3 linked regions of the Notamacropus eugenii genome follow. The protein of the gene in region 2 interacts with the protein of the main gene of each other region in a pairwise test. Links are inferred from orthologs where the notes say so. Each region holds a gene or a part of one and is shown on either strand. Other genes may lie near its edges. The genes, in order: RNF14, DACH1 and FGF12.

Evidence for each region.
Region 1: the proteins of DACH1 (region 2) and RNF14 interact in binary tests that used the Homo sapiens proteins (3 or more experiments, as listed by UniProt). The two-hybrid records come from large-scale screens. The link is inferred for Notamacropus eugenii from reciprocal best matches to the Homo sapiens genes DACH1 and RNF14.
Region 3: the proteins of DACH1 (region 2) and FGF12 interact in binary tests that used the Homo sapiens proteins (3 or more experiments, as listed by UniProt). The two-hybrid records come from large-scale screens. The link is inferred for Notamacropus eugenii from reciprocal best matches to the Homo sapiens genes DACH1 and FGF12.

What each region holds. Positions count from the first base shown.
Region 1 is NC_092872.1:369,341,830-369,349,740, forward strand, and holds the start of RNF14 (E3 ubiquitin-protein ligase RNF14), read left to right. Parts: upstream 1-4,817; 5' UTR 4,818-4,935; intron 4,936-6,912; exon of another isoform or gene 6,913-7,001; intron 7,002-7,035; exon of another isoform or gene 7,036-7,290; intron 7,291-7,351; exon of another isoform or gene 7,352-7,911. UniProt on the Homo sapiens protein: E3 ubiquitin-protein ligase that plays a key role in the RNF14-RNF25 translation quality control pathway, a pathway that takes place when a ribosome has stalled during translation, and which promotes ubiquitination and degradation of translation factors on stalled ribosomes.
Region 2 is NC_092877.1:266,364,082-266,371,865, forward strand, and holds the start of DACH1 (dachshund homolog 1), read left to right. Parts: upstream 1-4,729; 5' UTR 4,730-5,014; coding exon 5,015-5,919; intron 5,920-7,784. UniProt on the Homo sapiens protein: Transcription factor that is involved in regulation of organogenesis. Seems to be a regulator of SIX1, SIX6 and probably SIX5.
Region 3 is NC_092877.1:384,453,933-384,461,714, reverse strand, and holds the start of FGF12 (fibroblast growth factor 12), read left to right. Parts: upstream 1-4,745; 5' UTR 4,746-7,346; coding exon 7,347-7,545; intron 7,546-7,782. UniProt on the Homo sapiens protein: Involved in nervous system development and function. Involved in the positive regulation of voltage-gated sodium channel activity. Promotes neuronal excitability by elevating the voltage dependence of neuronal sodium channel SCN8A fast inactivation.

The sequences.
Region 1 (7,911 bases), on a different chromosome or scaffold from region 2:
CCATCACATTAGGGGGCTTTTCAGGTTTGAGTTTTTTGTTTTGTTGTGTTTTACTTATTCTTTCTCATTCAGCATCTTCTTACCTGCCTGTTGGATTAACTTTTTTTATGAGAGGAGGGAGAGTTTAAAGTTTAACTCCTACCAAGCCCTGTCCCTTGGGACAAAGAGTAACTTGGACCCTTAGAAGGGAAACAATATTGAGAAATACTTTAATCCTGCACTTGGGGTAGCAGGGTGGAGAGAGACTCAGGACATTCAAGAAACATTTCCTCTTCATCACAGGGAGGGTTCCTTGTATCACACTTATGCCCTTGTATCACACTTGTCTCCACCTTGATTTCACTTACATTCTAGAATGTGCCCAAATGTCCTAGAATGTTTCATCTGGTATCTATCTATCTATCTATCTATCTATCTATCTATCTATCTATCTATCTATCTATCTATCTATCTATCTGTCTGTCTATCTATCTATCATCTATCTATCCATATATATCAACATAATCCCTTGAGGCTTTTATTATATTGCAACATTCCTTTGACTTTTTCATCAAATTCATAGTTAAAAAATTATAATTGCATGGTTTTGAGGAAACACTTTGTAAACCTCAAAGCACTATAAAAATGTAAGTTGTTATCATTGTTATATCCTCCATTACTGAAATCCTACCTACTCTGGTGCTTTGTCATAGCATAGAGATAACCCTGAGTTCTTAGATGCCATGTCAACAATATGGCCTCTACTGTGGGTGTAACAGGAGACTGTATTGTCTATTATTCAAGGACCAGCCTAGATAAATTTGGAGGCTCATCAGTGGGTTGGCTACCCCAGGTAAGGAAGACCATCTACTATGGTCTAGTAGAAAGATTACCTTCTGTGTTGACTGACTACTCTGATGACCCCACAGATCTTTGAAGCAATACATGTGTCTATAAGTACATATATATGTATATATATATATACATACACATACATATACATACACACCTATATATAATATATAATACAATACACACCTATAAATAATCATTAATAATGGAACAATTAAAATAAGAGAAAAGACATAGTTGTTTTTACTAGTTATATATATATATATATACATACACATACATATACATACACACCTATATATAATATATAATACAATATATACAATACACACCTATAAATAATCATTAATAATGGAACAATTAAAATAAGAGAAAAGACATAGTTGTTTTTACTAGTTATATATATATATATACATACACATACATATACATACATACCTATATATAATATATAATACAATATATACAATACACACCTATAAATAATCATTAATAATGGAACAATTAAAATAAGAGAAAAGACATAGTTGTTTTTACTAGTTATATATATATATATACATACACATACATATACATACATACCTATATATAATATATAATACAATATATACAATACACACCTATAAATAATCATTAATAATGGAACAATTAAAATAAGAGAAAAGACATAGTTGTTTTTACTAGTTATATATATATATATATATATATATATATATATATATATATATATATATATAGGTGTGTATGTATATGTACCTGAAGTTTAGATTATATTGCAATGTTTTTATCTTTGTCCAGATTACATTAATAATTGATTACAACATTCCTAAAACCAGTTTGGAACTGCCCAGTTGGACTGATCTTGATATGACTTTGATATGCTACAATAACCACTTGGATTTGGGGGTGGGGGAAGGTCTAGTGTCTCTTGAAGAGATTGCCTCTACTCTAGATATGCTTCCTCCCTCTTCAGGGCATGCCTGAATTTCTTGCCTTTTTCTGGAAACATAAATGCCTCATACTTATACAATAGGTACTTTCCCCAGGTCAATCCCTGGTATCTCCCTGCTTATGTCATCAGAGGTGGGAAGCCAATCAGATGAGCTCAGATGAGAGCTGCTCCCTTTCTTCCCCTTCCCCATCCCCCCAATATCCAGAGACTTTACTGTTAAGTCGCCCTAATGGAGAGTTATTTTTGAGTGATTCTTTGCAGTTGGAGGAAACAGGGCCTTGGCTATCTCCCACACTGACTAGAAGTGAAAGAAGACATATTTGACGAAGTTAGCTCAAAGAGCAATTTTGTCCATTATTTCCTCCCACCCACCACCAAATTTCCTCCTCTTGCTCTGGAGGAGGAATGTCACACCTGAGGTCTGGCACCTTCCCTGCTTATACCCTTTCCTTGTTGTCCCTGTCCTCCATGTTCCCCTCCCTGAGGTATCTCACTTTAGATTTCTGCCCTTCTCTTGTGTGAGGTGAGATGTACTATAATAAAAATCTCTTGTGCTACACATCACTGGCTTACTTCCTGATTCTTTTTTGCAAGACTTTCTCTAAGTCTCTGGGGCCATAAAAGCTTCTTTGCTTCAAACTAAGCAGAGAAAGAGAACTCTGAGCCTGATTCTGGGCCTTCAGCATTGCCTGCTTTTAAGAACAAGTCCTTTGACTGAGACCTAGTGGTCAGACTGGGACTGAGCTGGAGACAGTTAACATTCAAGTATCTAGAAAGCAAATGAATGTTACGGCAAAAGATTCTTCTCAAGAAAGCTTCTAACATTTCCTGTCTGTCTTATGAATCTAAAGGTTATCTGAAGATGAGGTGAAAAATAATCATTAATAATGGAACAATTAAAATAAGAGAGAAAAGACAGTTGCTTTTACTAGTTGTATATATACAGCTTTAGGACCAACAATTCATCCTTCGGGCTGAAGAGAGATATAGACAATCCTTTTAATTTCCATTATTATCAAGCTCTCTGTACGCTTTTTCCAATACCCTCAGCAGTTTTTTTTCCTAGATCTAGTGTTAAAATGAGCTTTACAATGACAGTAAGAGAATCTTTCAGACTTGATGATCCTCTGAAGTTTCTCTTCAGCAGCTTCAGTTGGAAATCTCCTGAAATGGTGTAACCTAGAGTTATTCTCTGTACCCACATATCACCCCCAAACTGGGTCTCTGGTTTTAGAGTCCAATGTGAAGGGAGAATTCCTATACTTTATTTTCTGAGACTTCATTTCTTAATGTACTTTGCTTCCAGAGTTCAAAACAAACTTACAAGTATGTCTACACATACATACACGTACATATATATGCATATACATATATAGACACACACACACACACACACACACACACAGGTATATCACAGCCCAATTTAGACAATTCAACATCAACATCTACCGATTAGCTCCAAAAGGTATGCATGAAAAAGCATGTCCCTGACCCTCAAAGAACTTACATTGTAACAGAGAAAGACAATATCTATAACCAGGGTGTTTAGTGGGTCCATGCAGCAACAGTGATTGATGGCAAGAAGATGGCCTGGTCAAGTGGCATGGTTTAATCTGGGCTGGCTCTCACTAATCAGGACAGCGTGGCTACAAGATCCAGAGTTCCAAAGCTTGAGGAGCTTAGCTCCTCTAGGACCTCATCTTTGGAGGTTGTAACAAATGACAAGACAGGTAGCAAGATAGCTAATGGTCTGATCTGGGAATGGTCAGTGAGACTGTAACCTAAAACTCACTGTATCTCATAATCTAGAGCGTCTCCAAGTCAGCTAACCTCACTTCCTATTGTGTAGACTCAAAATGAGAATGGAAAAAGCTGGCATAGCTTATCAGTGATCTCTATCAGTTAAAGTCCCTTATCTAAAACCTTGATCTTAGTCTTATATTTCTCTAATCAATTGATCAAACTCACTCTCAGAGAAGACCAAGTTTACACACTACCTATTAGGTACCAGCAATACTGAGAAGCAGGATAATGTAGTGGAAAAATCACTGGACTTGGAATAAGAAAAGGACCTGAGTTTTGTAGCTGTCCAATGTATTCATCATATAAATATGATCACTATTGTGGCTACCTGTGTGTGTGTTCTTCCTTCATTGCTGAAGATCATGCCATCAGAGAAATGGTGACATGATTTGCACTTGACTTTGTTCTGAGTGAGGGAGGGCTGTGCAGGTCACCAGCCTCACTTCTCCTCCAGAGCCACCTGAATCCAGTGACCAGATATTCATCAGGATGACTGGAGATGACTCAGGATGAGGCAATTGGGGTTAAGTGACTTGCCCAAGGTCACACAGCTAGTGAGTGTCAAGTGTCTGAGGTAAGATTTGAACTCAGGTCCTTCTTCTGCATTGGCGCTCTATCTACCGCACCCCCTAGCTGCTCCAATTCATTTAGTACTCTGAGGTTTAAAAAAGTCCCATCTATCTACTCAACACCACTGTGAAGTAGGTCCTGGAAAGCATTATTCCCATTTCATAGATGAGGAAACTGATACTCCGAGTGTTTAAGTGACTTGGTCAGCCTCAAGAGCCACACATTTGAATGCTACTAAACTAACAAACCAAAAGGCAGGATTCAAATCGGGAACTTGCATCTTAGATGTGCTACCTTCCCAATCTGGGCCAAAGAACAGGTCATGAAAAGGCAGGGAGTATATTGCCCTTGAAATCTCATTATTCTTCAAGTAATCAGATTCTGGCTGATTCAAACACTTCCCTAAATTACATCCTGAATTCAGCTCTGGACCATAAAAACTTCTGTAACCATACTCTCAAAAACAATTTAGAACCTAAATAGGAACACGGCCACTTTCAATGCTTATCATTACTAACTAACTATCTTGACAACACAATTCCAACTCAGGGGCCATCATCTTCAACTATCTCCATTCACTGTCTGTGACATCACATGGTGTCACAATTAAACCTATGACTGCCTGTCTTAGATAAATCCTTATGGGTTATCCTATAGACTCATACTGGATCATGTAATCTCACATACATGCATTTGGTAATGAAGGGTACAAGGAAACATACCAATGACACAAGGATTGCTGTGTAATAATAAAGCTCTACTGGCCTGTGATGGAGAAGGTATGAGCTCTTTCATGGGGCCCAGACACTTTCCTTTAGGCTGAATTATTTACTAATAGCAGCTGGCTGAGTATTTCATTTGGTTTCTATTCTGAGGTAGGGAGGAGGCAAAGATTTTTTTCTCCTTTTTGCCTACACTGATTGTTAGTGAAAACGACATTAGTGAATTTGGTCAAAGGAATGTCATTCATCTGGACTGATTTTTCAAGGTTTTTGTTTCCATTGTAGAGCTATATTTCAATTACAGGCAAGGCTTTAATCAAACATGATCTATGAAAATTCAGATTTATAAAATGCAAATGGGGGAGGGATAATTGTTTGCTTTATAAAAAGGCTGATGCTTAGACTCTGCTTTAGTCAGACCAGTCTTGAACCTTCTTCCAGTTCTTCCCCCCAGGCCTACACTATTCTTTCTCTTTAACTCCTTTTGTACTTATTTTACGTACTGCACCATGTGGCACTTTTATGATATCTATAATATAATCTATAATGCATACTGCCTTAGTCACTCAACCCTAGCTGGATGGAATAAGAATTCTCAGCTCCAACGTCCTTCTTTCCCACCCCCTGTATTTTACAATTAGAACTGAAGACAGACTATGAGGGCATGCACATGTGAAGTGTTGCTTAGAATACTGCTTCACTATGACTGCTGGCTTGTAACCCTGAGAGTCTTCAATTCATTCCTCTTTTAGTATCCACTACAGTGGATAGTACTAGACCTGACTTGCATTTTAATACAGTAGAGAGTGCTGGACTTGGACTTGGGGTCAGGAATCTTTGGGCTTGAATACTCTGAATAACGTGTCAACTAACCTCACTATTGTCTAGACCCAGTCCAGGATCCTTACTGTCTAGGATCGGTCACTGGGTCCCTCTGAACCTCAGTTTTCTCATCTATAAAATGGGCATAGGTATTACCAGAGTTGTTATGAAGTACCTAACACGTACTTGGCTTAAAGCTCTACATAAACATCAGCTACTGTTATTATGCCCCAAAAATGTAAGGAGATAAATGGGAATTCCTCGCTACAACCTCGGTCAGGAGAACAATGTCTGGTGAACTTGCAGAGACGTGGAAATCCAGGAAAGAAGAAAGGTGTGAGCTCTGCATCCCTCAGTGGTCTCACTTCCATTTAACAACCATTTGGTTGCGCTCCTACCATAAAAGGATGGCCTTTTACAGTGGGAAGGGTTCTTATGTGCCTTCCACAGGTTTCTCAACCCGAACCACATTCTGTTTTTAACATCAAGACTGTGCCGGGATCGCTTGAGCCCTTGCCCTTCCGACCTCGGGCAGCCCAGTCTAGTCCGCAGGACGTTGGCCAAGAGCGGGAGAGGAGGGAGAAGGGTCGGTTTTTCGGTGCACAGGCTAGGGAGTGTGGATGACCTCTTTGCGAGGTCCGGCTCCATGAACCGGGCCAAGGTGAAGTGATTGGGTCACTGCCAACCAGGGACGGCGGGGACCAAACCAGAGAAGCAGCCGGTGGAGGCGTCTCTGGACTTCATTTCCTAATTTGCAAACGTGGGACGATCTCCGAGGTTCTCCAAGATCTCAGAGCAAATGAGGGGGAAGCAGACAGACAGGAGAGAACTGGGGCGCTTCCTGGGGGCACCTCTGGAAGTAGTCTAGCAGAAAGTGCCCAGGAATGAATGAACGTACGCTCTATTGTGATTTGGGGCAAGCCACCGAGCCTCAGCCCCCGAAGGAGCAAGGGCTTGTGTGCCTCGAGAACCACCTGGGGCTTGTTTGTTCACACACCCACTTGTAAAGCCCGAGGCCCAGTGGTGCTGGGATGCCCCCGGGTTCCATCTCCACGTCCTCCTCTTCCTCCTCCTCCTGCCCTTTCTCTCCGGCTTCCCCGCTTCCGGCCGTTCCGGCTCTCACCACCTCCACCCTGCAGGGGGCGCAGCTCCCGGAGCGTCAGCGTCTGCGCCGCGCCTTCCCTCCCGCCGTCGGCCCCGCCCTCCCCACCCCACCCTGGCCCGCCCCGCCCCATCCCATCTCATCCCATCCCATTCCGTTCGGTTGCTCTGTGGTTAGAGGAAACTGCCTGCCGGGCCAGGTGAGGTGGACGGCAGGGAGCGGAAGTCGCCGCCGACCTCCACGCCGACCTCCTCCTCGGGGGTGGGGGCCGAGCTGAAAGGCGGCGGCGGCGGCGGTTGCGGCGGCGGAGGCGGCTCAGCAGGCCGTAGCGACCCTTGCGGCGACGGCCCTTCAGTCACCCGGTGCCGAGGCGCTGGCCGCGCGGGCTGACCGGTCGGGAGGAGGGGGGAGGGGAGAGCGGGGCGGAACCTTTGGGGCCGAGCTCGGGCTGCCACCGGAAGGTGAGGGTGCTGGCCTCCAGGCGCCCGGTATGGAGAGGAGGGGAGACGAGGCGAGGCGGGGCCGGGCGGTTGGAGGGCCGCCCGCGGAGGATGCGGGGAGGGTTGTTAGTGCGGGTTCTGAAACTCCCCCGAAACACCTTCAAACAGCCCCTCTTGCCTGCCCGAATCCATCCCCGGAACGTGGGGAGACGACGGAACCGAGGCGCCCCGTGGGAAAGGGCGGGGCGGACGGCCGCCCCCTCCCCGTCCCCGTCCCCGTCCCCATTCGCAGACTGGCCCCTTTTTCTAGAAGGAAGGGAGCCCCTACCCCAGTAAAGTCAGGGGTGCCGGGGAGAGAACACCGAACCTGGAGGCAGGAAGGCTCGGGCTTAGACACTCAGTAGCTGTGTGACCCTCTGCCTGCCTCAGTTTCCTCATCTGTAAAACGAGGATAACAGCACCTCCTGCTCTGAGTTGGGAGGATAGAGTGAGGCAACACTTGCCAATGTTACCGTTATGAAAAGATGGGGGCGGAAAGAGGAAAAATTAGTAATTACTTTCCTCATTCGGTGGCTGGCCTAAAGAGAATAATTTGCCTTTTTATAGGGTTCGGAGTTTGCAAAACACTTCTTCCTACCTCCGATCTATGAGGAAAACAGGTTAAATGCA
Region 2 (7,784 bases):
TGTGTTATGGCTGGACTGGAAAATCGAGTGTTAGTTCTTTTTTGCCCTGGGGCACTCTTTGTACCAAATTCCACTTTTCATTTAATTTTCCAATAGATTTCGAAAGACTGAAATGTTTGCGATCAACATTTGATCCACTTGCATTATTTAAAAAAAAAATCTTGTAAGTAATTTCAAATTCCAAAAACCTTGCTTTCAATTAGGGTAAACATAATTAGAGTGACGTCGTGCTTGGAATGGTAAATCTCCCTTTGTATCTATTAAGCATGTTATCTTGTCCTGTCACTGAAAGGAATTCAGTTTGTATTTGTGTTGTGTATTTCTGTGTGCTGGCTTGACTCAAATACAACTGAGGTGGGAGAAAGACAGAGAAAAGAATGATAGTCATATATCCTTTCTTGCAATTTGAGCGTCTAGTGTCAGTCATCTGACCCCTGAACTATATCAGTTTCACTTAATAATGTTATCAACAGTGGATCTAAGTGTTTTCAAGAAATATTCAGATGTTCAAGAAATATGATCTTGATACACATTGACTTTGTTACACAATCATTTGATTTTCTTTTGTGCTCTAGGAAAGGTACAATTTCAGATGTTTCTCCCTCAGATTTACAAGAAGTTCCAGTGGATATATTTACACACACGTGTGTGTGTGTGTGTGTGTGTGTGTGTGTATTAGATGTCTATTAAAACCTGAGAATGAAATGAAATTATTTACCCTAGTATTTTCAAAATGTGTATCTTTCTTACAATATTCTGCTTTTCAGTCATTTATCAAAATTACAATTAAACATGAATAAACTTTAAAAATGAGTACTCATCTCAGAGAAAGTTTTATGAAATGATTTAGTCAGTTTCCCCACTTGAGAAATCAGGGAATAGTATAGGTCAATAGGTAAAGAAAGAATGAAATATAATAATATACTGATGTATTTCTCTAAAGGGAAAAAGGCAAAATAAATCCAGATGGAATTCATGTTTTAAAACTTAAATATGAACATGAGTATCAATTCAAAGAATGTCTTACTATCTCCATGGCACTCTTTGCTATCATATGTTGCGTGCTGTTATGTTTTCTTTTCTCTGTAGACCTTGTGCTTTGTCGTTGCCCTTTGGAAACCAAAAGGCTGTGCCCTGCACAGGGCTAGAGTGCCTGGAGTCTGTCGTTCAGGAGATATTCGCTCAGACTTGAGGAGCAACATTGTACCGTACACTTTCTGACTATATCTTTCAACATTATAGCAAGTCTCCTCACTGGATTTCATAAAGCAATGATCTCTAGTAGTGTGTGTGTGTGTGTGTGTGTGTGTGTGTGTGTGTGTGTGCGCGGGTGTGTGTGTTGTTTGTTTGTTTGTTAAGTAATAAAACTACAAGACCTATCAGCTAGCTTACTGTTGGTGTAGGTTCTCATTCACCCAGAAATGGTCCCTGGGGAAGGTGGGGTAGGGTAGGAGGAGAAAGGGAGGAGGAAGGATAGTGGGAGGAAAGAGAATACCTGCCCTGAACAGTTACAAGAGTGCAAGAGAAGCTCAGCTTCAAACAATATCCTAGGAAAGAAATTAAAGACTTCTTAATTAGTGCAGCAATTAAGCTTTCTTGGTAGCATTTTAATCAGCACAGGCCCTATCAAAGGACAAACAGAACAATTTGCAGGTCTTTGAATTTTAAACAGTCTTATTGATTTCAGCAGAATAAGTCTTCACTTGACACAGGGAAAATTTTCAAATATCAGTGACTATACTTTGAGCTTAGAGGAAGAGACGATGGGGGAAGAGTGTTTGAAATGACCTGAGATGTAAAACAAACAACCAACCAAAAATACCTTGAAAAGCTATAAGTGAGAGGGATAAAGGGATAAATTCAAGTCCTTCTTAGATTGATACTTCTGCTAAGGACAATTCAAGCTCACTTAATTGTTCCTAACATTTCTCAAGCAAGGCACTCTGAAGATTTTTGCACCCTTCCATAAATATATTTTTATTTTCATTATGCTTAGTTCCTAATGCTATCGTCTGATCAAACAAATGCTACACAATGATGAACCTTTTCAAACTATGGTTTTCTTTCAACTGACTGAAAACCTGAAGATTTTCTGTCTCAGAACTCTTTCAGAAGGGACAGACTCCATAATACCCTACTATATAAAGTAAGCACGTGTTGTGGGGCACAGCTTCCCCCCAACATCATGGGTCCTCTTAGAAGTTAAGGTAAAATGGTGACATAATTGAGGGTCATGCTCTAGTTGCAATCGTTGCCTCGCTTGTATGTTACAGGAATGTGGCATGGTTGTGTATGCATGGTACTCTGAGTTAATGTGGGAAACCAGAGGGGGTAAGGGCAGCTTTTCAACACTTGTTTTGCATTGTTCTCATTTATGGGTAGAGAATTCAAAATGATAGAACTGTGGTCTAACATTTTTCAAAGTAGCTGAAGTTTTTATGGTGACATCAAGCTGTGCCATTATAATTAAAGTTGTGTTTGCATTTCCAATATAAAATCAGTTTTACAAGGGTTTGTAACTTTTCTCCCCCTGTTGAATATGAAATCTGCATTAAATATGTTTTAAAATAAACATGTACTTACTGTTTTTGATATTTTTAAGTGCATATATGTACATATACATCCTCACATTGGTACAAGAATTTATTAGATGAAGACACCTTTGATGACCAAAAGAATTTCAACTTTTTTAAAAAGATAGCTGACGTTTGATACCAGGCAGGACAAACAGTTGTCTACAGATTTAAGATATCCTAGAAAGTGTTGTATATGCTTTCCTTCCATGATGTGGACCAATAAGAAAATTCTGGCGAAATAAGGTACCTTTTTTTTAGGATAGATGTGAGTAGATTTTTGACATAGCTATGTTTTTCAATGCTTTTTGTATTCCCTCAAACAACAACAAACAACAAATTTTCAATAATAAGAAAAATAATATTTTAACTAATAAGACATAGAATTTTCAGTGTATAATTCAACAACATGGACTTACAGCTTTCAAAATATATACAAAACTATAATTTCTGTCAAATGTGTAATGCATCATTTCACACCTTGCAGAATTAGATACTGCGCATGTGTAGAGAAAGCCTAATTATTCAAGATCCACAGAGATATAGACAGAGGATTACATTGTGACTTATGCTATTTTAAATCACCTGTTGGTCAGAGACCCTTTAAATACTTAAATGCAACAGGTTAGCTGAATGTAAGAATAAGATGAATTAAAAAGGTGATTGAGAATAATTCTACCAGTTAATTTTTATATATCTCCACTTTGTTTTTTCAGGTCTGCTATTTAGGGGTGTGTGTGTGTGTGTGTGTGTGTGTGTGTGTGTGTGTGTGTGTGTGTGTGTGTGTGTGTGCGTGTGTGTGTGTGTGTGCGCGCGTGTGTGTGTGCACGTGTGTGTGTTGAGTGTAATTTCTTAAAATTTAGACAGAAAGGATATTCCCATAGAATGAGTTAATTTCGAAAACTGTAAGTTAAAAGAGATCTTTTATCATAACATACCAGAAAGTCTTTTGTCTTTTTTAAACAGAGTAACATTTTGTTGTTGTTGTTGCTGGTATTCACTTGAATTTCTCACAGTTTGAGATCCATAAAGTACATAAGTGTGTACCTGCTTTATATTTAGCTAGCCTTTCCTTTTTGAAGTCAGAGGATCTTACATCTATTTCTGACTGGCAAGGAAACATAGCTAACCTGTGTAAAATCCACATCGAGAATATCTTTTCATTTTTCTTTTCCCCCTACAATCTACTGAAATACAGAGCAGATAAAAAGAACATCTGCTATTATTATGTTAGCAATTTAGATGTCTGATTTCTTCCAACTTTCAGTCTATGATCTGTATTTACTAGCCCAGCTCAAAAAAAAACACAAAAAAACGTACTCACAAACAAGTGACCAAACAAACGAATGAATTAAAATCATACGTTTAGGTTTGCATAGGAACTTTCCCTAAAGTAAACTAAAAGCAAATGCAAACCTTCATAAAGATGTATGGAAGGAGAAAGTGTATGTAGATCTTCCATTTATACCTGATTTTCTTCAAAATCATTTTAATACGTCCTAATTCCTATAAGAAACTGTTCAAAGTGCTTTTGTTCGTCTTTAAGTTGACAGGAGATTGCTTAGATGCGTTTGGAAAATTACATGTCGTCGCGGATGAGATGAAATATGAAACATGTAATCTAACGGTAGTATTAAAAGAAAAGATGATCTCCCTTTCCTTTTTCGTCCCCCTCCCATTCCTCGCCCCCCCCCATCTCCCCGCCGTCTATGTCGCTCTCTCTTCACCTCCCTCCCCACCCACAATCTCTCTCCTCACCCTTTTTCTCCTCCCTCCCTCTCTTTCTCGTACTCTCTCGTTCTCTTTCTCAGTATCTCTCGCTCAGTCTGTGTTTCTCTGCTCCGGGTTCCTGGTTGGATAATTTGGGTTAATACTAGTGAGTGAGGTTTTTGAGGCTTCAAAGGGTATTTCAAGTTTCCGGAGCTCCTCCCCTCTGCACCGTGTGACAACAACAACTCGTCCAGAGAGCAGCCAGCACTTTTCAGCTCATTTTCTCTCTGTCATTCCCCTCTCAATCTTTGATCAATGTACTTGCCAGAGAGAACCGAAGTCCTTCAAACCTCCTCCTTTTCACCTTCATCTTTAACTTTGTGCTAGAGCAGGACCCAAAAAAACAATAGCCAACCCTCCCCCCCTCCCTCCCTCCCCCCTAAAAAAATTCAGCCCCCAATCCCAGCCCCTGGAGAGGACTACTCATTTGGACTTGCGGGACACTTTTGTGCGTGTCTCTCCTGCTTCTCGTTCTTACCCCCTCTGCCCTTCATTCTCCCATTCCTTTCTCTTCTCTTTTCTTTTTTTCATTCTTCTCTCTCTTTCCCCCTCTTTATCTTTCTGGGGATTTTGCTTTCTCTCGTTCGTTCTCCCCCTTTCCTTCCCCTCCCCCTGGTGTGTGGCAACTTTTTCCACCCCCCAATCTCCTTCTTCTCCTCTTATATGTCACCATGGCCGTGCCGGCTGCTTTGATCCCTCCGACCCAGCTGGTCCCCCCGCAACCTCCGATCTCCACTTCTGCCTCCTCCTCCTGCACCACCACCTCCACGTCCTCGGCGACCTCCTCTCCGGGTCCCTCCATCGGTCCCCCGGCGTCTTCAGGGCCAACCCTCTTTCGACCTGAGCCCATCGCGGCGGCGGCGGCAGCGGCAGCGGCGGCGGCGGCAGCGGCGGCGGCGGCGGCCACGGTCACCTCCACCAGCGGCGGCGGCGGCGGAGGCAGCGGCGGCGGCGGCGGCGGCGGCTGCACCAGCAGCAACGGAGGCGGCGGCGGCGGCGGCGGCGGCGGCGGCAGCTGCAACCCCAGCCTGGTCACCGCCAGCAGCACCAGCAGCAGCGGTAGCGGCGGCGGCGGCGGCGGCGGCGGCGGAGGCACCTCCAACCCCAGCCTCAACGTGAGCACCGCCAGCTGCGGCAGCAGCAGCAGCAGCAGCAGTAGCAGCAGTAGCAGCAGCAGCAGCAGCAGCAGTAGCAGCAGTAGCAGCAGCAGCAGCAGCTGCGGCAACCTCCCGGGGAAACCAGTGTATTCGACCCCTTCCCCAGTGGAGAACACCCCCCAGAATAATGAGTGCAAAATGGTGGATCTGAGGGGGGCCAAAGTGGCTTCCTTCACGGTGGAGGGCTGCGAGCTCATCTGCCTGCCCCAAGCTTTTGACCTGTTCCTAAAGCACTTGGTCGGGGGCTTGCACACGGTCTACACCAAGCTGAAGCGGCTGGAGATCACGCCGGTGGTGTGCAATGTGGAACAGGTTCGCATCCTGAGGGGACTAGGGGCTATCCAGCCCGGGGTGAACCGCTGCAAGCTCATCTCCAGGAAGGATTTCGAGACCCTCTACAATGACTGCACCAACGCAAGGTAAAGGGGGGTAATCCCTTAGCACCCAGCTCCCTCTTAACCACCCGCCTCCGCCCCCCTCTTTCTCGTCTTTCAGTCCTGCAGCCTCACCAGCCCCACCGAACCTCGGCACTCACCGAGTCTCTCTTTCCTTTCAGTGGTATTGTTGACAAGCCTGACCAAACTGAACCTCATCCAGTCTGTCCTGAGAAGTTGGAAAACCCATTCTCTCTATCCTGCGCTTACTTTCTCCCTTTTCCTTTTCCCCTCTCTTGCCGGTCCCATGCCCTCTCTCTACTCACCAGTAAAATGTTAAACTCTGTGTGCAGGGGAGAGTGGGCGGGGGGGGGGGGCAGTGAGTGCTTTGAGTGTTGAGGGACTTGGGAGAAAGGGGAGAATTGAGAGGAAGGGGCTGGGCTGGAAGCGTGGAGAACATTGAATCTTGCGGGGAAACTCATTCCTCTTCCAGTTTGCTAAAACCTGAGAACACCTACCTTGTCTCACCTCTGCCCTCCCACCGCGTGGAGTGAGGCTCCCCAAAGTCAGGCACTCCGGAGTGCGAGTCTCACTGAAGTGTGATTTTTGTTTGTTGCGGAGCGTGTTTCCAACGGGTGATTAAGATGAGGTTGGGGGAGGTTGTGAAAGGGGAAGATGCGGAATCCAACTCGAGGCATCAGGTTTTCCCAGCCAAGCAAATGGGCTGGGGGTGGGGATGGGGTGCTGGAAAGATGGGTTTCGGAGTAAGGGATGAGAATGCGGGGAGTAGTCTCCCTCCCCGTGGTGAAGCTAAGGAAATATGGTCCCGGGATAACACTTCAAAGTCTAGGGGCACACTGTTTTGGCGTCTGAGAATTGACCCAGTAATTGAACTATCAGTGTCCCATTTCTCCAGGGTAAATTTAGCTACAGCATATAAAGGGGAGGGAGGAAAGAGATACGATTCATATTCTGGAGTGTGTGTGCGTGTGTGTGTGTGTGTGTGTGTGTGCGCGCGCGTGTGTGCAAGTGATTGCCAGAAAGGAAGGAAAGTGGAAGGAAAGTAAGGCTGTTGCCATGGGGCAAAAGAGACTCAGCAGGCTGGTTCTCTTCTGGTGGGGTGGAGTTCCAGATACCGAGGCTTAACTGACTTGGGGAGAGGAGAAAGATGCCAGGTCCCTGCTCTTTCTGAGGTCGGTGGCTCAGTGAAGAAGCAAGTGCGGGAGTTGGGCTCGAAGGTGCAGTCGAGTTCCCAGTAGCTGCCTGGGAACCGAGGAGTGCCTTGGCTGTATTAGCCACGGGTCCAGTTCCAGAGCTGTTTCACTGTACGTCTGCGTGCTCGGAGGGGCAGGATTGTACCGGGAGGGGGCGGGAGAGGGGCAGCTTTTAGGGATCTGGAGATTGTAGGATCCTGGATCGTTCCTCAAACCTTTTGCCAACACACACACACACACACACACACACACACACACACACACACACACACACACACACACACACAACCTCTCTGGCACTGCAGCTCATCTTTTGTCCCATAGGAACGATGGAGCAAAAGTCAAAACCTAGAACAAATAGAACAAAATAGGAAGGGTGTAGTGAAAGTTAAGAGTTTCGTTTAGAGATGACAAGGGCAGACGAGAGGGAGGGAATAACGTGCATAACTGCCCTAGAAAAATCAAATGCTATTGAAATAAACGTGAAGACCAGAACAGAGAGGGCTCTATCTGCACATGTAGCTGATTAGGACGATAGGCTGGGCTGGGCGTGAAGGTAAGAGTTATTTTAGGAAGTAACCAGAAAGGAAGAGCTCCCCTGTTGTCCGAAGGAATGAGAACCGGACTCACAGACTGTCAGACTTGCATCTTAGCTGGCTACCTTGAGGGTAGTGATAAAACTCAGAAGATGAGAAC
Region 3 (7,782 bases), about 120 Mb from region 2:
CTTTCTTAGTTCAGATCTGACCTCAGACTTTTACTAGCTGTGTGATCCTGGGCAAGCCATTCAACACTTGCTGCCTTGATTTCTTCCTCTATAAAATGAGGTGGAGAAGAAAATGGCAAACTACTCCAGTATCTTTGCCAAGGAAACCCAAGCAGGAACTTAAAGAGTCAGACATTACTGAAATGACTCAACAACATAGAGGCTCACTTTTCAACAATTTCAGCTGTCACAGTGGTCTTCCTCCCGAGGCACTAAACTAGCTACCCCTGGAGAACTTCAGGCAAAGATTGCTTGGCAGCCTTTTGGGGAAAGTGATAAAGATATTCTGCCTTTTAGGAGGAAGGAATTTATTAAGCTCCTACTTTGTACCGGGCATTTATTTCATTTGTATTACTTCATTTGATACTTACAGCCCTGGGAGGGAAGTGCTGTTATAATTCCACTTTACAGATGAGGAAACTGAGACACAACTTAGATGATTTACCCAGGTCAGATAGCAAGGAAATGTTCAAGGTATGACTTGAACTCAGGTCTTCCTGACTCTAGCCCTAACTTCTATCTAATGTGCTCTCTACCTGTCCAGAGCCTGCTAACCTCTTAAGACCTCACAGATGCTGAGGCTGTAACTCCTCACAACATCTTGTACCTGACTCATCTTCCTTAGCTTCAGAAGGAAGTTAATGATGGGATAAATAATCTAGAAGGATGAATAATTAACAGTAGAAAACCACTCTGAAAATCTACAGCTCCTGAAATTCTTAAATGAAACAGCTTATCTGATAGCATACAGGAAGCAACATATCCTGGTAATAGGGATTTTTGAGTTCGAGAAAATCCTACTCTTCTCAGTCAAAAGTGAAGGGTTTTGTTATCAGTAGAACTATGTGCATTTGGTAATCAGCAGAACCATGTACATTATCTGTTTTACATATCCAACTGATTTTGGCTTGTCAAAATGCAGAAGTGATTTTCAACATCTGCTCAAATAGCAATTTTTATCTGACCCCCCCTCCCCTTCCCCATTTTAAACCTTAAGATGTGTTCCATTGATTACCTGGTGATCCAAGGTCAACATTACCCCACAGGACTGAAAAAATAAAGTCAGCTCCATGAAGGATGAAAAAGTAAAGAATGTTTAAAGTGAATTTGATTCCTTAAGACAACAATAAGTCTATTGTGGGGCTAGAGGAAAATTGATCAGATTTTGAGGCAGCTGGTCAAAAGGAGAGCAATCTCAGCACTTCTCCGCCTCCAGAGAGTCATAGCCAGATTCTGTGAGAAAGTGTCTCCTTTTGCTTCCACTTGGCACAGAAGTGTTATATCGGAGGGGGATAGATAGTGCTAAGTACGGTCATTCCCTGAGTTCTTTTCTCAGTTCATTCCTCCCAAGTATCCTTTGCTACTGTTAACACTGGTTTTCCCATAAAAGTTGCCTAGTCTTTCTGCTCAGTTGGCCAGCTGTGAATTGGAAGAGAGGGCTCTGCTTTATCAAAGACAGGAGCCTCACCAATCCAGTCTGTTCTTGTGTTACTCCAAACTCAGGGATGAATTCTATTAGCCAAGTAAAATCACTTTCTTTGCTGAATTTGGACAAGTCTTTAATTGATAACATCCATATGGTGCTACCAGTTGGTTTTAAGCCCCCACTCATATGCACTGAAATGCATTGTGTCTCATTTGTGGCAAATATATATTTTAACAAAAACTATTGTCAGAACACTGTGGACCATTCCACTTCTCATTCAAGCAAATGAAGCTGGTGCAAGAGTATGGTCCATGAGCCATGGGGGTTTCTCCTCCATGTTTACCCTGGAATGCAATGAACCTGCCCTCGAAGGTCCCTGTTCTTAACTTGATCCCTTCTAAGCAGCTGCCAAACTGATTCTATAATTCCCTTACCCCAACTGCCAGCCCAAGACTCATCTGGCTCATATTTCCTAGACAGCCAAGTATGTACACAATTCCTAGCCTAAGCAGTCACACATGCAAAGTTCTTGGCTTTCCTTCGGTGCAAATCTACCCTTTTCCCCAGGCACACTCTTGCCTCTGCATGGGGACTGATGTTCTGTACCAGAATGACATCTCTTTGAGGGAGTGGGTTTGATTTATTGTTGTCCAAATGTCATCTCACTCCCCACCTAGAAGCTGTTGTCTGTGGCTATTTGGTCACTTAAAATCATGTCTGACTCTCTATAGCCTCATTGTGGGTTTTCTGGGCAAAGATGTTGGAGTAGTTTGCTATTTCCTTCTACAGCTCATTTTACAGATGAAGAAACTGAGGGAAACAGGGTTAAGTGACTTGCCCAGGGTAATACACCTATAATCTGGCACATGGCATTGGCTGCTTAATCAATGTTTATTGAATAATAGTTGTTGAATTCAGTTTTGCATTCCAATCATCCTTTGGATTTATTCTCAAAGAAACTATCTAGAGTCTATATGTGTGTGTGTATTATATATGTATTTCTAAAATCTCAGACTTGGATGGAGTTTTTGAAGGAGATAAGTGGTGCGGTGGACAGAGGGTTAGGTTTGGAGGTAAACAAACATTAGTTCAAATATTGACTCATATCCTTACTAACTGTGTGACCCTAGGCAAGTCAATTAATCTCCCTAAACCTCAGTTTTCTCTTCTGTAAACTGAAGGAGACAACCTTGATTGTCTGCAAGAACCTTTCCATTTTAAAATCTTTAGTACTATAAACTTTCCCCCCAACCTATAGCTCAAGAAGAGTATTATCTCCAATGCACATCCAGCATCCTCTTACAGATCTCTAGTATGGAGGAACTCAGCACTTCCCGAGGCACCCCATTTCACTGCACTGCTGTAATGTTAAGAAGCTGTGCCATATTGTAATGAGCTGCCACTTTCTTCTTGATCTTCTGCTCTTGACTCTAGTTCTGTCCACTGGATCCGGGCAGAGTCAGTCTAATCCGTCCTTCCACAGCAGCCTCTAAATGCTTGAAGAAAGCTCCTCTATGTGTTCCCTTCCTTTCCCCCAGCTCTCCTCAAAGCTAAACATTCTTTCATGTAATGATCCTCACATGACCTGGTCAGGCTCCTGAATGTATGTTCAAGCTTGTTAAAGTCCTTCATATGTAAGTGCCCAGAACTGAACACATCACTTGTGTACGTGCTCTGTTTGGCAGAGCATATCTCCCGACAGTTTAGCAAATGAGTCTGGATTCTCTGTTGCTGATGCCACTTAGCATCATGTCTCTGCTTGGTAAAGAGTGAGGAGAATAGATACGTGATAGATCTATTGTTTGCATTTACTGGGCAAGTGACCACCACTTGACACAGGAGACGTAGAGGATCACATCCTCATTCTAAAAGAAACCAGAATGTATACTCAGAAAATTACAGAACAATTCTAGGGACTTCAGAATGACTGTGTCAGGGCAGGTGATAAGGCAGCTGAGTTCTCCCATGCTTTGCCGATATCTCAGAATTCCAAGAGACCCTCAGACTTTATATATCAATGAGTTATAATCTAGTCTGATTGAAACCCAGTCTAGTCCATTGATACCTTACTCTTAGTATAAGGATTCCCCTTTCTCCCTTTCAACCCCAGAAATCAATCCTAGATTGACTCGTGGTTCTATTCTCTGATGTCAACAGCAAAGGGTAGAATCTATTTCGTTTTCATGTAACAGCCCTTCAAATAAATCTTGGAACTGGTTTTCACCATTTTTGTCAGCCTTCTCTGGGTATCTGGACTCCTCAACATCCTCCCCATATTGTGGTGCCCAGAACAACACACAGTACTTCAGATGCAGATTGACCAGCATAGAAAATAGAGAATGCCCTCTCATATTGGACACTCTCCTTTAAGTGGTTAAAGTTATTGTGGTTTATTTTCCTGAAAGTGTCAAACTTTTTCACAAATGACCTTGGGTGGGGTTAATACTTTAAACCCAACAGAGACACCCTGGGTCTTGGCTTTACATAAAGATAGAAGGCACTTTTAAGGTGATCCAATTCAATCCACTTCTTTTGCAGAGAGAGAAATGGTTTCTTCGATGAGAAAGGGATTTGCCCAGGATCATACACCTAGTGGATATCTCAGGAGAATTTGAATCTCTGTCTTTCTGGCCTCTAGTCATTGTTCTTTTCATTACACCAGGCTTACCTTAGTTGGCAGCTCTTGGTCAAGGGAATCTTCTGTAGGTTCTGGGAAGCCTCTGGGATTTGAATGACTCTTAGGAGGCTCTGACTCGCGGCCTTCACTTAGCTGTTTTGAGAAGGACTTGAGGTGGTGAACCCAGCAGGTGGTCTGAAGGCCATTCCCTGATGCCCAACTGCTTCCCAAATAGAGAAATCGTTAACTGAGCCAAACTTACCCAGGGTCCTTACTGTGTTTTTTCTCTCTCTCCCTTTCGCTAACACTCTTTAGCCACCGCTCCTCTGTGTAATCAACGTTTTGCACACAGTAGGTGTTTCATCTTGCAGTTGGGCATGTTGTTCTCCTCTCCCCTGCCCCTCTCCCCAGCTCACACACCCCTTCCGTGGCTGCCCAGGGCCCTTTTCTCCTCAGCAGGTCTTCGGCAAGAGATATTTTCTCTTCAATTCGGTAAAGGAGGGGACAGAGCACACTCGAACTGCAGTTCCCTAGCTCTGCCTCTGAGAATTTCTCATCCAAACCTCAATCACGTAGGATTGCGTAGAGAGAAGAGGAGAGACAGAAGACACAGAAAGAGAAGGGGGAGGGAGGGCGAGAAGGAGGGAAACACAGGCAGCCGCTGGGGCTGGGGGAGGGGGAGGAGGAAGACCAATGCCATCAGCCGGAGCCCAGGAAGAAAATGGGCCCAGCAGCCCACGCTTGCTCGCTGCCCAGCGGCTGTTGAGGGCTGGATTTTAACGCCCTCCTCCCAGCCCCCCTGTTCTTTTTCCCAGGCTGCAAGGCAGAAGTTCGGAAGGCTTTCCCTTTCTCCACTCCCCACCCCCTTCCCAGTCATTTGCCCCAGCGTGTCTTCTCTGCCTGGAGTTTCCTCTTCCAGACCTGAGCGAGCCCCAGCCAAAGTGAACAGAAGCCTGCAAGCCCAGTCTGAGCCGGAACCGGAGCCCGAGCCTGAGCCCGAATCTGAGCCAGATCTGCAGCGGGCACCCAGGGGTCTGTTGGGCCGACGGACCAGCCCTTCCCGGCCTCTGACTAAACGCTCGCGACGTAGCCCCTTGTGAGCTAGGCTCAGCCCTGAACTTGACCTCCCGCGCCCAGCCGGGGGCGCCGATGGATCCCCCGGAGCTTCCTCTCCGTCCGACGCGGGAATACCCCTTGCCCTGAGCCGCGCCAGCACCCAGCTGCTACTGGGCGGGCTTGGGGCGGTGTCGGCTGCGGGCGCTTACTGACGGCGGGGCACACTAGCTCCTGGGCAGCCGGTGCCTCTTGGGGAGCAAGCTCTCGCCAGTCTCCCGGGGCTCGGCTCTCCTCTGGGCTGACGCGAAGGGCCGGGTGGGCCGGACGATGATGTGGCTCTGTGCGCTCCCGGAGCTGCCTCGCCTGGCAGCCGCCGTCTCAGGCCAGCAGCCTCCGAAGGGCAGGATGATGTGTGCCCGCAGCGTGCCGGTGCTCCTAGCGTCCTCTCCAGCCGCCCCCTCCTCCTTTTCCTCTGCCTGCTTCAGCTGCTCCGGACGCGTGTTGTCTTTCTCCCAGGGCTGGGATGGGGACCGCAGAACTGTCTGAGCGTCCGCGGCCGCCTGCGTCTCGGATCTAATCCATCGGTCTCCTGGTTGGGCCGATTATTCTCTGTGTGGAAGCGGGGACGTCTTTCTGAACCCGGGGCGAAGGGTAGGCGCCGCGGGTGGGCCGGCAGGCCGGTAGGCGCGAAGCAGGGCCCTCGGGGCGATGCCTTGAACCCTTGGACTCTCCAGAGCCAGGGCCCTCCTGCTTCTGGGCCGGCTCATGGCAGGGAAGCCCCGCTAAAGCGGCCCAGGGAGGGCCTGGGCCGCGCTCAGCACCCCAGAGACACCCCCCCCCCCAATCCAAGGCTGAGCTACTCCGCTGGGGCTGGGGATCGGGGACCCTCCGCTGAGCCTCCCAGACGCTCATTTCCCGAAGGTATTCCCACTGTGCGGGTCTAATCCAGGAGCAGAAAGGGATTTCCCTCCTGCAGACTGGGCTCTCTATCCCCTCCTCCCCGCCTCTTGCCCTCACCGTGGGGGCGGGCGGGCGGTTCCCGGGGGCGCTAGGCTCCCGGGGATCTCCCTCCCCAAGCTCCCTCCCCTCCTTTTTCTTCCTTCTTCCCCCCTCTCTCTCTCCCTTTTTCCCTTGACTACACCGCTCTGGTGAATTGACGTTCCCACAGCTTCTGGCGCTCCTGGAGCTCGCCCCACAGCTGGTAACAGCTGCCAGGGCAACACCAAACCCGGTGAAGCACCAGAACCGGGGCCCCATTCCACCTTGCTCCGATTTGTGTCCCCTCCACTTTCCAGGTAGCCTTTGGCTTCCAGACGCAAGGCACTCATTTCCGTTTGGAACAAAACGTAAATCTAGCCGTCCACACAAGTACCACCGAGTTCGGGAGTGGTGGGAGATGTCGTTAGCACGGGCTGACCTGGGCTGAATGGCTCCTTTGGTCTTGCAGAGTCAGCCAACCAGCACTTAAGTGGCTGCCCGGCTTTTTCTCCTCAGCTTTGGTGGTTTCTTTTCTACAGGCCCTTAGCTTTTACTCACTTTTTAGCTTTTGTTGTTGTTAGCAGGGGGGCGAGTGCCCTCCCCACACTCACCGCTTTGTACACAGTTTTTACATCGAACTCTCACTTCCTCACCTTTGCTTCGGGGTCAGGGTGCAGCCAAGACCCTGAGGGCAGGAGTGTGAGGACTCGAGCCCGGAGCCACCTTCTTATTTGGGACAGGACCTCAGTGCACAGACACTCCAGAGCCGGGCCCGACTCCAGGCAAGCCTAGCTGAGCGCCTTGTTCAGCCTCACCTGGACAGCCGAGTCCCACGGCTCCAAGACCTCGGGGCCAACTTGGGGTGGGAGCGGGTGGGGGGTGACCTCGGCTTGCAGAAAGAACTACCTACCTTTTACTTTCTGCAGCGGCGCTCCGGGAAGTTTACACTCGGATTTACCTTCATTTTGTCTCCACCAACAAACAGTTCCTTCGTGGTCTCTTAATTACCCACGGATCAAGACTGACTTGGTCGGCTGCTGGGCGCCGGGTTTTCCCTACCGCAGCCAACACAGAGCTTCTTCATCACTGCCTCGCCTTTGCCTGATCGAGGCACTTTCGGGGTCCTCACTGACCTGCCTTGGATTAGGAGGGAAGGCTACCAGCCCTCCTTCCTCCCCCGACCCAGGAGCCCTCTGGGGCTGGAGCTGGGGCCCCGACGGCTGAGCCGCTATGGCTGCGGCCATCGCCAGCTCGCTGATCCGCCAGAAGCGCCAGGCTAGGGAATCGAACAGCGATCGGGTTTCGGCCTCCAAGCGCCGCTCCAGCCCCAGCAAGGATGGGCGCTCCCTTTGCGAGAGGCATGTCCTCGGGGTGTTCAGCAAGGTGCGTTTCTGCAGTGGCCGGAAGAGGCCAGTGAGGAGGAGACCAGGTCAGTGGCAGCAATTGAGATCCGCGGCGAGCTTCCTTCCCTCCCCCGACCCCTGGCAACCTCCTCTTTCTCACCACTTGGGTTCCCATGGAGCCCCTTCCCTCATCACCCCACCTAAGGTTCAGCAGGCACCAGCGATGAGGATGAGCCCCGGAGGCCTGGGCCGGGATGCTTCCTTCCCTCACCTTGCCCTAGGTTTCCTTTCCAAAACCCTCCACTAGCTGCTTCCCCTCCTTG